Linked DNA regions of Diceros bicornis minor. The protein of the gene in region 3 interacts with the protein of the main gene of each other region in a pairwise test. Links are inferred from orthologs where the notes say so. Each region holds a gene or a part of one and is shown on either strand. Other genes may lie near its edges.

Region 1 (3,747 bases), on a different chromosome or scaffold from region 3:
TTAATTTAGTGATAATTTTCTAAGCACGATAACTGTGGTTAGGTAAGAAAAATGTTCTTATTCTTAGGAGGTAATAGCTGGCATAATCAGGGGCAAAGTGTTATGATATATCTGCTTTTAACCTTTAAATGGTTTAGCAAAAAAAAAAAGTATGGGGAGGGCCGGCCTCGTGGCTTAGCGGTTAAGTGCGCGCACTCTGCTACTGGCCGCCCAGGTTCAGATCCCGGGCGCGCACCGACGCACCGCTTCTCCGGCCATGCTGAGGCCACATCCCACATACAGCACCTAGAAGGATGTGCAACTATGACGTACAACTATCTACTGGGGCTTTGGGGGGGAAAAAAAAAAGTATGGGGAAAGGGGTGATATAACCACAAAGAGGCAGCCTGAGGGAGATCCTTGTGGTGATGGAACAATTCTGTATCTTGTTTTGTTTTTTTATTTATTTTTCCCCCAAAGCCCCAGTAGATAGTTGTATGTCATAGTTTCACATCCTTCTAGTTGCTGTATGTGGGACGCGGCCCCAGCATGGCCAGAGAAGCGGCGTGTCGGTGCGTGCCCGGGATCCGAACCCAGGCCACCAGCAGCAGAGCGCGCGCACCCAACTGCTAAGCCACGGGGCCAGCCCCAATTCTGTATCTTGATTGCAGAGGTGGTTACAGGCATCTACACACATGATAAAATGACAGAACTACATATACACATTGTATCGATGTCAATTTCCTGGTTTTGATAGTGCACTAGAGTTACATAAAACCCAACCATTGGGGAAAACTGGGTGAAGGGTACATGAGACCTCCCTGTACTGTTTTTGCAACTTCCTACGTATCTATAATTATTTCAAAATTTTTTTAACAAGTTAAGTATAGATAGATGTGTGTGTTTACATATATTATAGAGAGAGGAAGAGAAAAGAAAGAGAGAAAGCAAATGTGGCAACAAGTTAACAAGTGGTGAATGCTGGTGAAGGGTAACAAGTGTTCATGCACTATGCTTTCAATTTTTCCATAGATTTGAAAAATTTCAAAAAGTTCAGACAGTTTTCAAAAATAATATTACTAAATAAATAGTAGTACAGTTGGCACACAGGTATGGCAAATATCGTGAGGGCGGAGCTCATGACTGATTAAAATGTGGAAAATACTAACAAGAGAGCTGCTGTGTAAAGTATTATATGCTGTACTTCATTTAAGCCTCACACAACCCTGTGCCATAGGCTGGACTTTCTACTTTAGTGATGTAGGATTTGTCCGGAATTACTCAGTGAAGCAATGGCTGAGCCAGAGTCCAAGTTCAAGCCCAGATCTCTTTCCCCACCACCACTTTATTACTGCCTCCCTGCAAACTTGCCACCAAGAATACATATATCCTTAAAAACAAATACTACTAGGGTACAACACAAACACTGCAGGCTTCTGACACTCACTTTTGGTTGGTCAGATACCGATCCCAGCCACGAATAATGTTGCCATACATCTGAGTGTCCTCCAGGTAGCTCCCTTCAAACGCATAGATCTGTCTCTCCAAGTTTGCCAGTGTTTCCTGAGAGATGAAAAACAAGGAAAATGGATAATGCCTTTGAAACGCAAACGTTAAGTCTGATCAAACTGAAAACTCAAGCTCAACTACACTAAACCACCCTGGTAGAAAGACGGATCATATGGGGAGGGGCACGCTGCTTCAGACTAAGCCAGTCTAGACCTGTCTTGTTGGATCCCTTTGAGAATAGAATGGAATAGACAGAGCGCGTCCCCAGAAAAATATACACGCGTGCAAAATTGTCCATATATTTCAGAGGGTTCATAGAAACCTAGCTGTCAAGAACCCCGGCTGAGGCAGAACGTGAGCGGTCGCCACTCCCACGCATAAAAGGTACCGCTACCGGGGAGAAGGAAGGCTGCGCAGCCTCCTGCGCCAACTCGCTCCCCTCCCGGAAGGCTCAGAGAGGCCGCCTGCGCTAGGCTGCCAGTTGCTATGGAAACCTGGAAGGGCAGCTTCAGGTGAGATGGGCCTCCCGCTGCCCAAGCCAAAACGCCATGGGGAGGGAGGGCTTAGCCATCAGGGTGCATGGGACCCTGGCTGCATGTCACAATTCATAATTCCCTAGACTGAGCCCGTTCCCCTCGCCTGTCACTTTCTAGATGTTCCCAAACACATCACATCTGCCCATCAAAAACCCCATCCAACGGATCTACTCCTAGTTCCCAAAAGGACATGCGCCCCTCCATCCTCCAAAGGCCAGACTGGATAACAAGGTGCCCCTCCCATACCCGCCCTGGTGCTACCCCACCCGCCCCAAAGCCCACCGGCAAGCCCGAACCAATCTCCTACAGCCCACCGACACGCCCGCCCCAACCCCCAAAGATCGCGGACCCGCCCGCTTTCCCCCAGCCCGCAGAGCTCACGGACACTCGCCTTTCCAGGCTCCCACGCACAAGCCCCCACTCCCAGGCGCATCGTGCCTCCACGCCCCCGCCCGCCCGGCCCCCTCCCCGGCTCCGCGCCCCGCCCCCGGCCCCGGCCCCGGCCCCCGCTCCGCACGGCCGCGACGCCGAGGCGCCGGCGGGCCGCGGAATGCGCAGCCCGGCCTCGGCCACCGGACTCCCGGGGTAACGGCCTGGCGCGGCGGGGCTGGGGCCCGGAGGCGCGCGCGGGCGCGGGGCACCCACCCGGGCGCCCCGAGTGCCAGCCCCTCACCGCCAGCTCCTGCTTCCGCTTCACGAGCTCCGCCAGCTCCCGCCGGGTGTCCGGGATCTGCGGCGGCGCCGCCTTGTTGTGCATCGCCATGTTGGGCTGAGGCGGGCGGCGGCGGCGCCAGCTGGGGGCGGTCCCTGCGCGCCGCCGCCCGCCAGGGGGCGCCTGCGCCGCACTGCGCCTGCGCGCCCGGCTTCCGGAGCCGCGCGCCGCGCTCTCGGCCTCGGGCTCTCGCGCGCCTCGCCTCGGGCGTTAGCGCTCTGCTCCTGGTCGTAGCCGTGTTTCTCCCCTGGCTGGACGTCTGGGCTTTACGGACGCCACGAATTCACCGTGTCCAAAACTAACCTCCTCCTAAGTCGCCTCAGTGAACGACTTGCACTGTCCACCCAATTGCCCAAGTCAGAAACCTGAGTATCATGCTCATTCTCCTTCACCCCCTTAATCCCATGCAAAACCAAATCCTGTGGACTCGACTCCAGAAGAGCCCGCAAATCCGTTTGCTTTTGTCTGCCACCTCCCTCGTTCATCCAGGCCCTCCCTACTGTTGGCTACATTATTCCAACAGCCTCCTGTTTCCACCGTTAGCTCTATTTAGTCCATTATCCACAGTGGTGCCAGAGGATTTGTTTGTGGAAAACAAACGTGGTGTCTCTCCCCTGGTTAAAATCTTTCAATGGCTTCCCATTGCCCTTTCGAGAGACAAGTATGTGCAGCGGTTAAGGACGCAAACTGGAGCCGAAACTACCGTATTCAAAATCCTGCCTCTACCGTTGATCAGCTGTGCCGCCTAGGGCAGGCAGCTAAATTTCATTGTCCCAACTTCCTCATCTATAAAACATAGGTAGTAATGGTACCTACCAAATAAAATTGCTGTGAGGAGTAAATCGCTTAATGTAGGGGCTTGGCAAGTAATAGGGACTACGTATAAGTATTAGCATTTATCTTTAAGCCCAGCATCCTTAACTTTGTTTTCACTTGGCCCCTGCTTCTTCCCCAGCTCTCTCTATTTTTCAGGGTTCTGCAATTTCACTATCGCGAATGGGATTTTTTTTT
Region 2 (3,747 bases), on a different chromosome or scaffold from region 3:
TCAGTTAATTTATATAAGATCTTCAACTGGTAGTTCCTTTTGAACACCAACTAGTCCTGTTTCCCTCAAGTTCCCCTACCTATAACTACCTCCAAATCCTCAATCTGCTCAATAGCTCTGCCCTTGCAAGCAAACAAAAGCTTGTGGTGTTTGGAGGCTCCGCACCAACATCTCAAGGTGCTGTAGGTCCTGGACCAGCAGCCACCCTACACCAGCCTATAACAAGAGCAGCTGAGGCTCTGGGAGAGGAAAACCAGCAAGCAGTCGGGAGGAGCACGGACCACGCTAGCCCAAGCGAACCCGAGCCTTACAAACTGGTCAGACTCAAGAGGCATGCACAAACTGGAGGAGGGGAGAGGGCATCTAGGGAGCATCAGGGGTTGGGGGGACAAGCTAAAGTCCAGAGAGGCAGGGTGGCCCCCCGAGCACGCCTTGGCAACCTGGTCGATGCCACAGGCAAGTACCGGTCCAGGTAAGAAAGGTCTGGCCTCCCGGCCCTCAGGAGCGCGCGCGAGATCGCCAGTTCAGGCCGCGGGAGGCGCCTCGGGCAGATGGAGAAGCACACGCGCCGCCACCCCCCCGCCTCACCCGGCTGCTCACCGGTGCTGTAGCCCCACGAGTCCCAGAGTGATCACATGCGGCACATCTAGCTGCGTGGGCCACTCTCCTGAGGCGATGCACCCGAACACGCCACATTCCTCTCGGATCCCCAACTCCTCCAGCTCCATGTCGCCGCCAAAAGCACGTGGAAGGACCTGCCGCTGCAGCAGGGGTCTAAGCACTAACCACCCGCCCGCTTGGCCCGAACGCCTCAGAAGCTCGCGCCCGCGAGAGCTTCTTCCTTCACAGCGGTTAGACCCTTGCTACTGCGGCGGCGCGAGCTTTGCCTGAGAGAGCGTGATTAGCTCCCCCCCATCACCCTGCCCCGCCCCCTCCGGGCCCACCAATGAGCGAGGACGGAGGGAGAGGCTCTGCGGCTGAGGGCGGAGTCTCGGATTCTGTGGGGTGGAGCTAGTCCTCCACCAGAGGCCTAGGGGAACTGATTTTTCTGCACGTGGAAATCTCCGTTATTTTCCAGAGCCTAATGCGGGGGTGATGAGACTAGCGGGGTTAACATCATTTCTCTCCCAGAAGATATAAACTTTGCGTGCCCTCCCCACAGGCTTTTCCCCGCCCGTCACTACTTGGTACGCTCCAATCTGTGACCTGCACGCGCTGCGGAAATGGGGCCCGGGTCGCGAGCTGCTGTAGAATGGGGAGGGGCTTCCAGTGCGCGCCACATTTCACCTTTCCTGCCACAGCGCCCGCGCGGGCGGGGGGAGGGTCTGCGTTGCTGCGCTTGCGCGGCGGGAAACCTAGGGGAAGCGCTCGCTGCCGGAGTGTAAGTTCCTAGGTGTCTGCGGAAAGGCCCAGGGTTGTGCCCTTGCTGTGGTGCTGGCAGAGAGCGCGGGTGGGCGCTCCGGAGGCGTGTCTGTGAGCGTCTCTGGCCACTCCTCTTTTCCAGAGTCCTGCCTCTCTTCCTAGCGCGGCCGCGGCCCCGAGCCCACGCAGGATCATGGCGACTGCTGAGGGTGAGTAACAGGCTTCCATAGGAGTACGCCGGGGCCGCCCTGTCCTCCTCGGTCTTCGCGTCCCCCGGCCTTGAGCTCGCGGGCTCGCGCGGACGGCATCCTTCCTGGGGCGGTGCTGGGTCTCCCTGCAGCGGCCCCTCTAGGCGGCGGACACGTGGCCCAGGTTCCGCCGAGAAGTGCGTTGAACAAAGCGCTCCCGGGCCTCTCCGAACTTGCTGCAACACCCACAGCTGCCCCCGGGATGGGGAAGAAGAACGAGAAATGGCCAGGGGTTGGAGAGGTGCCTGGAAATGGCGTTTGTAATCAGTAGATGTTGTAAAACAACCACAGGAACCTCTAGTGTTGACTCTTCAAACCAAGGTCTTGCTTTTCTTGTTAGGTTAATAGTAACCTGCTATTCCAGCAAGTTAATAATTGAGCCTTCCAAAAATCTTGCTGTTTTCTGTCCAGATTTTGTGTGTGTTTGTTAAAGTAATCTTTTAATGCCATGATGGCTGTGGAGAGCTCCAAAACCACCAGGCCAAAAAAGTTTTCCTTGCTTCAGTGTGCATTTATCATGTTTACTTATTTACGTAATCATTTTGTGCGTGAGTGGTCAGATCCTCGGGAACGATCATTTGTGCCATTTATGCTGATAAAACGTTTGTTTTCTCCACACACTCAATTTCTAAATTTGTGGTGAACCAAATTGCTGGTGTTGCCCAGTCAGTACGTTCTCTTCCAGGTAGAAAATTTGAATTTAGGTAAAAAATTACAGACTAAACAAAAAGCTCCAGATGATCACGAGTAACAACTCCGTAAAATCAAGGTATTAGACCAGAATTTTTCCTGCCATGCCTCTAAACTGGTAGAATCTCTGAGCTTTTGACTCTTCCATCTTACGTATTCTTGACAGGTTAATATTTCTAAGATTTCACTTTCATGGTTCCTAAATGGCACTTCCTTGCTCAAAAATGTTCAATAGCAATCTAAGTGCTGTTAAAATCCATTCTGAAGACACTTTCATTCACATCCTGCGTACTGCTTGCTTCCAACCTCTTCAGCCCTAACTTTAATTTTTCTCTCTTGTGAATCCTAAGCCTACATTCCAGTCAGGTTAATTCAACAAGTTTACTCTTCTCTATGTTTATTATACTGTTTCTTCTAGAACAGTCCTCTCTAATAGAAATATAATATGAAACTATATGTAACTTTGTTTTCTAGTAGCCACATTTTAAAATGTAAAAAGAAACAGGTGAAATTAATTTTAATGTGTTTTATTTAACCTGATATATACAAAATAGTATCATTTCAACATGTAATCAATATAAAAAATTGGAATATTTTGCATCCTTTTTTTCCATATTGCAATCCATTGTGTATTTTACACTTAACTCACATCTCAATTTGGAGTAGCCACATTTCAAGTGTTTCATAGCCACATGTGGCTAGTGGCAACCTTATTGCACAGCGCAGTCCTAGATGTTCTTACCTCTTCTGTGGAGGTTCTTTACTTTTCAAGACTCTAACATTTCAATTCCACGAATTATTCTCAGTCTTCAGCAGTCTCTTCTGAATTCATCTATGAATTTGTAGCAGGCATTTTGGCACTTGTAGCATATGTGTCCTATGATTGTTTCTTACGTTATTTCTACCCATTAATTGAAATTCCTACCCTATTTATCAACTACATAATAAATATTGATTCAATTAAATAGGGAGAGAGGGGCAGGAGGTACAAACTTTCATTTGCCTTTTATCTAACCTAGGCAACATCCTTAACTCTTTCTTCTCTCTCTTTTTTTTTTTTTTTGGTGAGAAAGATCAGCCCTGACCTAACATCCATACCAATCCACCTCTTTTTGCTGAGGAAGACTGGCCCTGGGCTAACTTCCGTGCCCATCTTCCTCCACTTTATATGGGACGCCGCCACAGCGTGGCCTGACAAGCGGTGAATCCGTGGGCGTCTGGGATCCAAACCTGGGCCACCAGCAGCGGAGCGCACACGCTTAACCGCTGGGCCACGGGATCTGCCCCCAACTCTTCCCTCTCTGTTATCCTCCATATTGAATCAATTGTTCTTAAAATGTTTACCTTTTAAATATCTTGAATCTTTTGCCACTGCTTTTTACTTAGACCAGGACATTTCTTGCCTTGATTGCTGCAATAGCATGCTAACTGCTCTCAGTCTCTAGTT
Region 3 (3,747 bases):
TATTGGGGTTGGGGATAGAAGGGATTGAAGGAAAGAAAAAAATTAAGGAAGATTTTCACATCTATGTGGTGAACCTCAAATTTAGAAATATATTTAACATATATTCAGCCTCCACTTATTACATTTAATTTCTTAATTAATTGGAGCACAGCATAGCATAGGCAAAGAACTTGGACTAAATCTTAAATTCCAGTCCTATGTGATCTTGGAAAGTGTCTAAACCCTAACAGCCACTGTTGCCTCATCTTTAAAACGATGATTGGATGTCTGCGGATTTGAGATGTTTGTAAAGCTCCACAAGAATGCCTAGAGCTCCCAGCGTGTAAGAAGGTTGTGGGAAATCCAAACGCGACGAGGTGGCGAGCCTCATAGTCCAGGTTTTATTTAGAAGATGGTGACGGAGGGCGAGTGTTGCAGGATTTTGAGCATGCAGGACATCTACAGCATTGGGCATAAGAGTATTCCAGTCGGCCTGAATTGGAAATGAGTCTCTCTGCTAGGCATTCCGGCCCAACGGCACCTGAAATTTCTAATCAGGGAGAATGCGAGGTTATCCCTGCAGCCTGGAACAGTACCTGACTACCGTAGGTGCTCAATAATTGTTTAATGAAGGATGGGGTAGGGGTGAAGGGAAGACGCTGACGTAGAGGTAGGAAAACTGTCCGCAACAGCCGCTGGAAGGCCCGAGCTCGGGATTTTCACGTCGCTGTAGCAACGCCCCGCTCCACGCGCACGCACCCGGGAACTACAAGTCCCACAAGCGTCCGCGGCTTTCCCGCCCCCGGGGAGGAGGGGCGCGAGCGAGCGCGGAACCAGCTTTCCCTCTTTCCTGAAGCGTGATTGGTCCGCGGCTCTGGGAGACGGCCAATGAGTGCGCTCGCGAGAGCGGCGAGGCCAATATGGCTTCCTGCGCCTGGTGACGGTTAAAGACCCTGTCTTGGGTCTCATGGAGAAGCCCCGGGGAGTCGAGGTGAGGGGGGAAGGACTTATCGTGACTGAGAAGGGGAACCCCGAGAGCCTCACTCGTGGACCCTTTAGGCCTTTTAGTGAAGGCTGGAGGGCGGAGTGTGGAAAGATGGATAGACGGAGGTAGTTAGGCTTGACCCGGGCCAGAGGCGGTCGCTGTTGCCTGTTGAGAAATGTATAAACAAGAGTAATGATCCTGGTGTTTGCAAAAGGGGTATTTGATTCTGCCTGCCACTTTGCCCAAGAGTGTTGACTTCACCAAGAACTGGAACGGGAGCTGGTAGATCTGCCACCTCCCTCCCCATACACTAAACCAACCATGATTCCTTCTGCCTGTTTCCTTCCACCAGGAGACTCCGTCTTCAGAACCAATGGAGGAAGAAGAGGAAGATGACGACTTGGAGCTCTTTGGTGGCTATGACAGTTTCCGGAGTTATAACAGCAGTGCGGGCAGTGAGAGCAGCTCCTACCTAGAGGAGTCAAGTGAAGCAGAAAATGAGGATCGGGAAGCAGGGGAGCTGCCCACTTCCCCGCTGCATTTGCTCAGCCCTGGGACTCCCCGCTCCTTGGATGGCAGTGGTTCTGAGCCAGGTGCCTTCAGAGTGCCCCCTGAAGATGGGGAGGTTTCAGGAGGCTATGGAGGAAGAGGGGGATAGAGCCATGTGGGCAGAGCCCTCCAGGTGTAAAGGGCTGTTTGATCTGATGTCTAAGGGCCTGTGAGAGAGACAGAGCATCCCAAGTAGCCCCAAGGGTCATTTCTTCTGCAGTAGTCTGATTTCGTTCATACAACTAGTATTTATTTAGCACACATTACATGCCAGTCATTAACATGGTGCTGCTTGTACATTTGTGTGAATAGCTAGTGGATTTCTAAGCCTGGAGGTTGAGAAGGTAGAACACTTGTTCTGGTTACTATCTGGGTAGGGACAAGAAATAGCTTGCGGGGTGGGAGTGAGGGGGAGGGAAATATAGAATAAAGTGACCTCCAAGTAAGAGGAGTAGGGTGGAGGTGAGCAGATAAGAATCCCCATGGATCATCTGGAAGCCACTTGGCTTCAGAGTTGTGATCTTGGACAGCTGCTGGACCCCACTGTCAGTGCCTCCAGCGTGTGGACTGCCTGTGAAAAGAGGCCGGCTAGACAATTTGTAATAACACTCCTGTTGCTTGGTACCTGAACTTTTCAGAAGAGAATACTCTTGCCAGTTGAATCTTATTTCCTTTCTATTTGTCATGTCTTCCCTTCCTCTCTCCTTTCTTTTATCTTTCTCCCCTCTATCTTCTTCAACCATTCTTTTAGAATCTTAGAACTTTAGAACTAGAAGGAACCATTAGAGACCATCTAGTGCAGGGGTTCTTTAGCCTGGCTGTGCATTAGAATCACCTGGGGGGAGGGGGCGGGCCCCGTGGCTTAGCCGTTAAGCGTGCGTGCTCTGCTACTGGCGGCCGGGGTTCGGATCCTGGCCGTGCACCGACGCACCGCTTGTTGGGCCATGCTGAGGCGGCGTCCCACATACAGCAACTAGAAGGATGTGCAACTATGACATACAACTATCTACTGGGGCTTTGGGGAGGAAAAAAAGCAAAAAAAAAAAGAGGAGGATTGGCAATAGATGTTAGCTCAGGGCCCGTCTTCCTCAGCAAAAAGAGGAGAATTGGCATGGATGTTAGCTCAGGGCTGATCTGCCTCACACACACACACACACAAAAAAGAATCGCTTGGGGAGCTTCTAACAAACTGGAAATGCCTGGGTCCCACCACAGACCAGCTAATTAGAATCTCAGGCTTGGGCAGTTTTAAAAGCTCCTCAAGTGATTCTAATACGATGTCAAGGTTGAAACATTGATTTAGTTCAGTCTCTTTATAGAAGAGAAGAAAATGGACCCACAGAAGTTAAGTGATGTGAGCACTTTTTTCCTTCTCAGTTTTCTCTTCGCAAACTTTCCTCACCTGTTTCCTCTGTCATCCTCATGGATTTTCCTTAGCGCCACTGTTGACACGTGTAGCCAAGGGATGCCAAGCAGCTTATCTTGGGTGAAATAGGTTCAGATGGACACCCCAGAACTTCCTTCTCTTCCAGTTCTGCCAGCCTTAGGGGGACTGAGACTTAACCCGGTAAATGCAGTGCCCCAGCTTTTGAAGGGCCCATCGTTTTGTTTGATTTGGGGTAACCGCATCAGGTGAGTCATGTGCTAAGTTCTCTTCCCAGCTGTCTGTGAGATGTGTGGTATCGTGGGTACAAGGGAAGCCTTCTTCTCCAAGACCAAGAGATTCTGCAGTGTCTCCTGTTCCAGGAGCTACTCCTCCAACTCCAAGAAAGCCAGTATCTTGGCTAGATTACAGGTGAGAGGCAGGTATTTGGAAGACCCTTCCCAGGGCCCTGGGTGCTGAGATAGCAACAACAATTGACTGATGGCAAGGGGCCAGGAGGGCTAGGGAAGGACCTTGCTTATGGCTGTCTGAGGTTGTAAATTTCATGGTATTATGTTCTCAAACCGTACAGGGCAGGGGAATCCATTTATGGAGCTTGTTAAATTGCAGATTCCTGGGGCTACCCTCCATTCCCCACCCTCACCCCTCAGAGTCTGATATGTTCAGTAAGTTTTAAACAAGAACTTTGAGGGAGTCTGATGCCCTTGGTCTTCCCACCATACTTTTTTTGTGTGTGTGAGGAGATCAGCCCTGTGCTAACATCTGCCAATCCTCCTCTTTTTTTTGCTGAGGAAGACTGGCTCTGGGCTAACATCCGTGCCCGTCTTCCTCCACTTTATATGGGACGCCG

Evidence for each region.
Region 1: the proteins of L3MBTL2 (region 3) and MEAF6 interact in binary tests that used the Homo sapiens proteins (3 or more experiments, as listed by UniProt). The two-hybrid records come from large-scale screens. The link is inferred for Diceros bicornis minor from reciprocal best matches to the Homo sapiens genes L3MBTL2 and MEAF6.
Region 2: the proteins of L3MBTL2 (region 3) and PAICS interact in binary tests that used the Homo sapiens proteins (3 or more experiments, as listed by UniProt). The two-hybrid records come from large-scale screens. The link is inferred for Diceros bicornis minor from reciprocal best matches to the Homo sapiens genes L3MBTL2 and PAICS.

What each region holds. Positions count from the first base shown.
Region 1 is NC_080752.1:51,572,332-51,576,078, forward strand, and holds the start of MEAF6 (chromatin modification-related protein MEAF6), read right to left. Parts: upstream 2,818-3,747; 5' UTR 2,788-2,817; coding exon 2,698-2,787; intron 1,543-2,697; coding exon 1,427-1,542; intron 1-1,426.
Region 2 is NC_080747.1:44,044,285-44,048,031, forward strand, and holds the start of PAICS (bifunctional phosphoribosylaminoimidazole carboxylase/phosphoribosylaminoimidazole succinocarboxamide synthetase), read left to right. Parts: upstream 1-1,115; 5' UTR 1,116-1,187; intron 1,188-1,504; 5' UTR 1,505-1,555; coding exon 1,556-1,571; intron 1,572-3,747. Other genes in the region: PPAT (amidophosphoribosyltransferase), read right to left, coding at 601-728. UniProt on the Homo sapiens protein: Bifunctional phosphoribosylaminoimidazole carboxylase and phosphoribosylaminoimidazole succinocarboxamide synthetase catalyzing two reactions of the de novo purine biosynthetic pathway.
Region 3 is NC_080764.1:9,162,552-9,166,298, reverse strand, and holds the start of L3MBTL2 (lethal(3)malignant brain tumor-like protein 2), read left to right. Parts: upstream 1-864; 5' UTR 865-946; coding exon 947-970; intron 971-1,316; coding exon 1,317-1,557; intron 1,558-3,174; coding exon 3,175-3,308; intron 3,309-3,747. UniProt on the Homo sapiens protein: Putative Polycomb group (PcG) protein. PcG proteins maintain the transcriptionally repressive state of genes, probably via a modification of chromatin, rendering it heritably changed in its expressibility.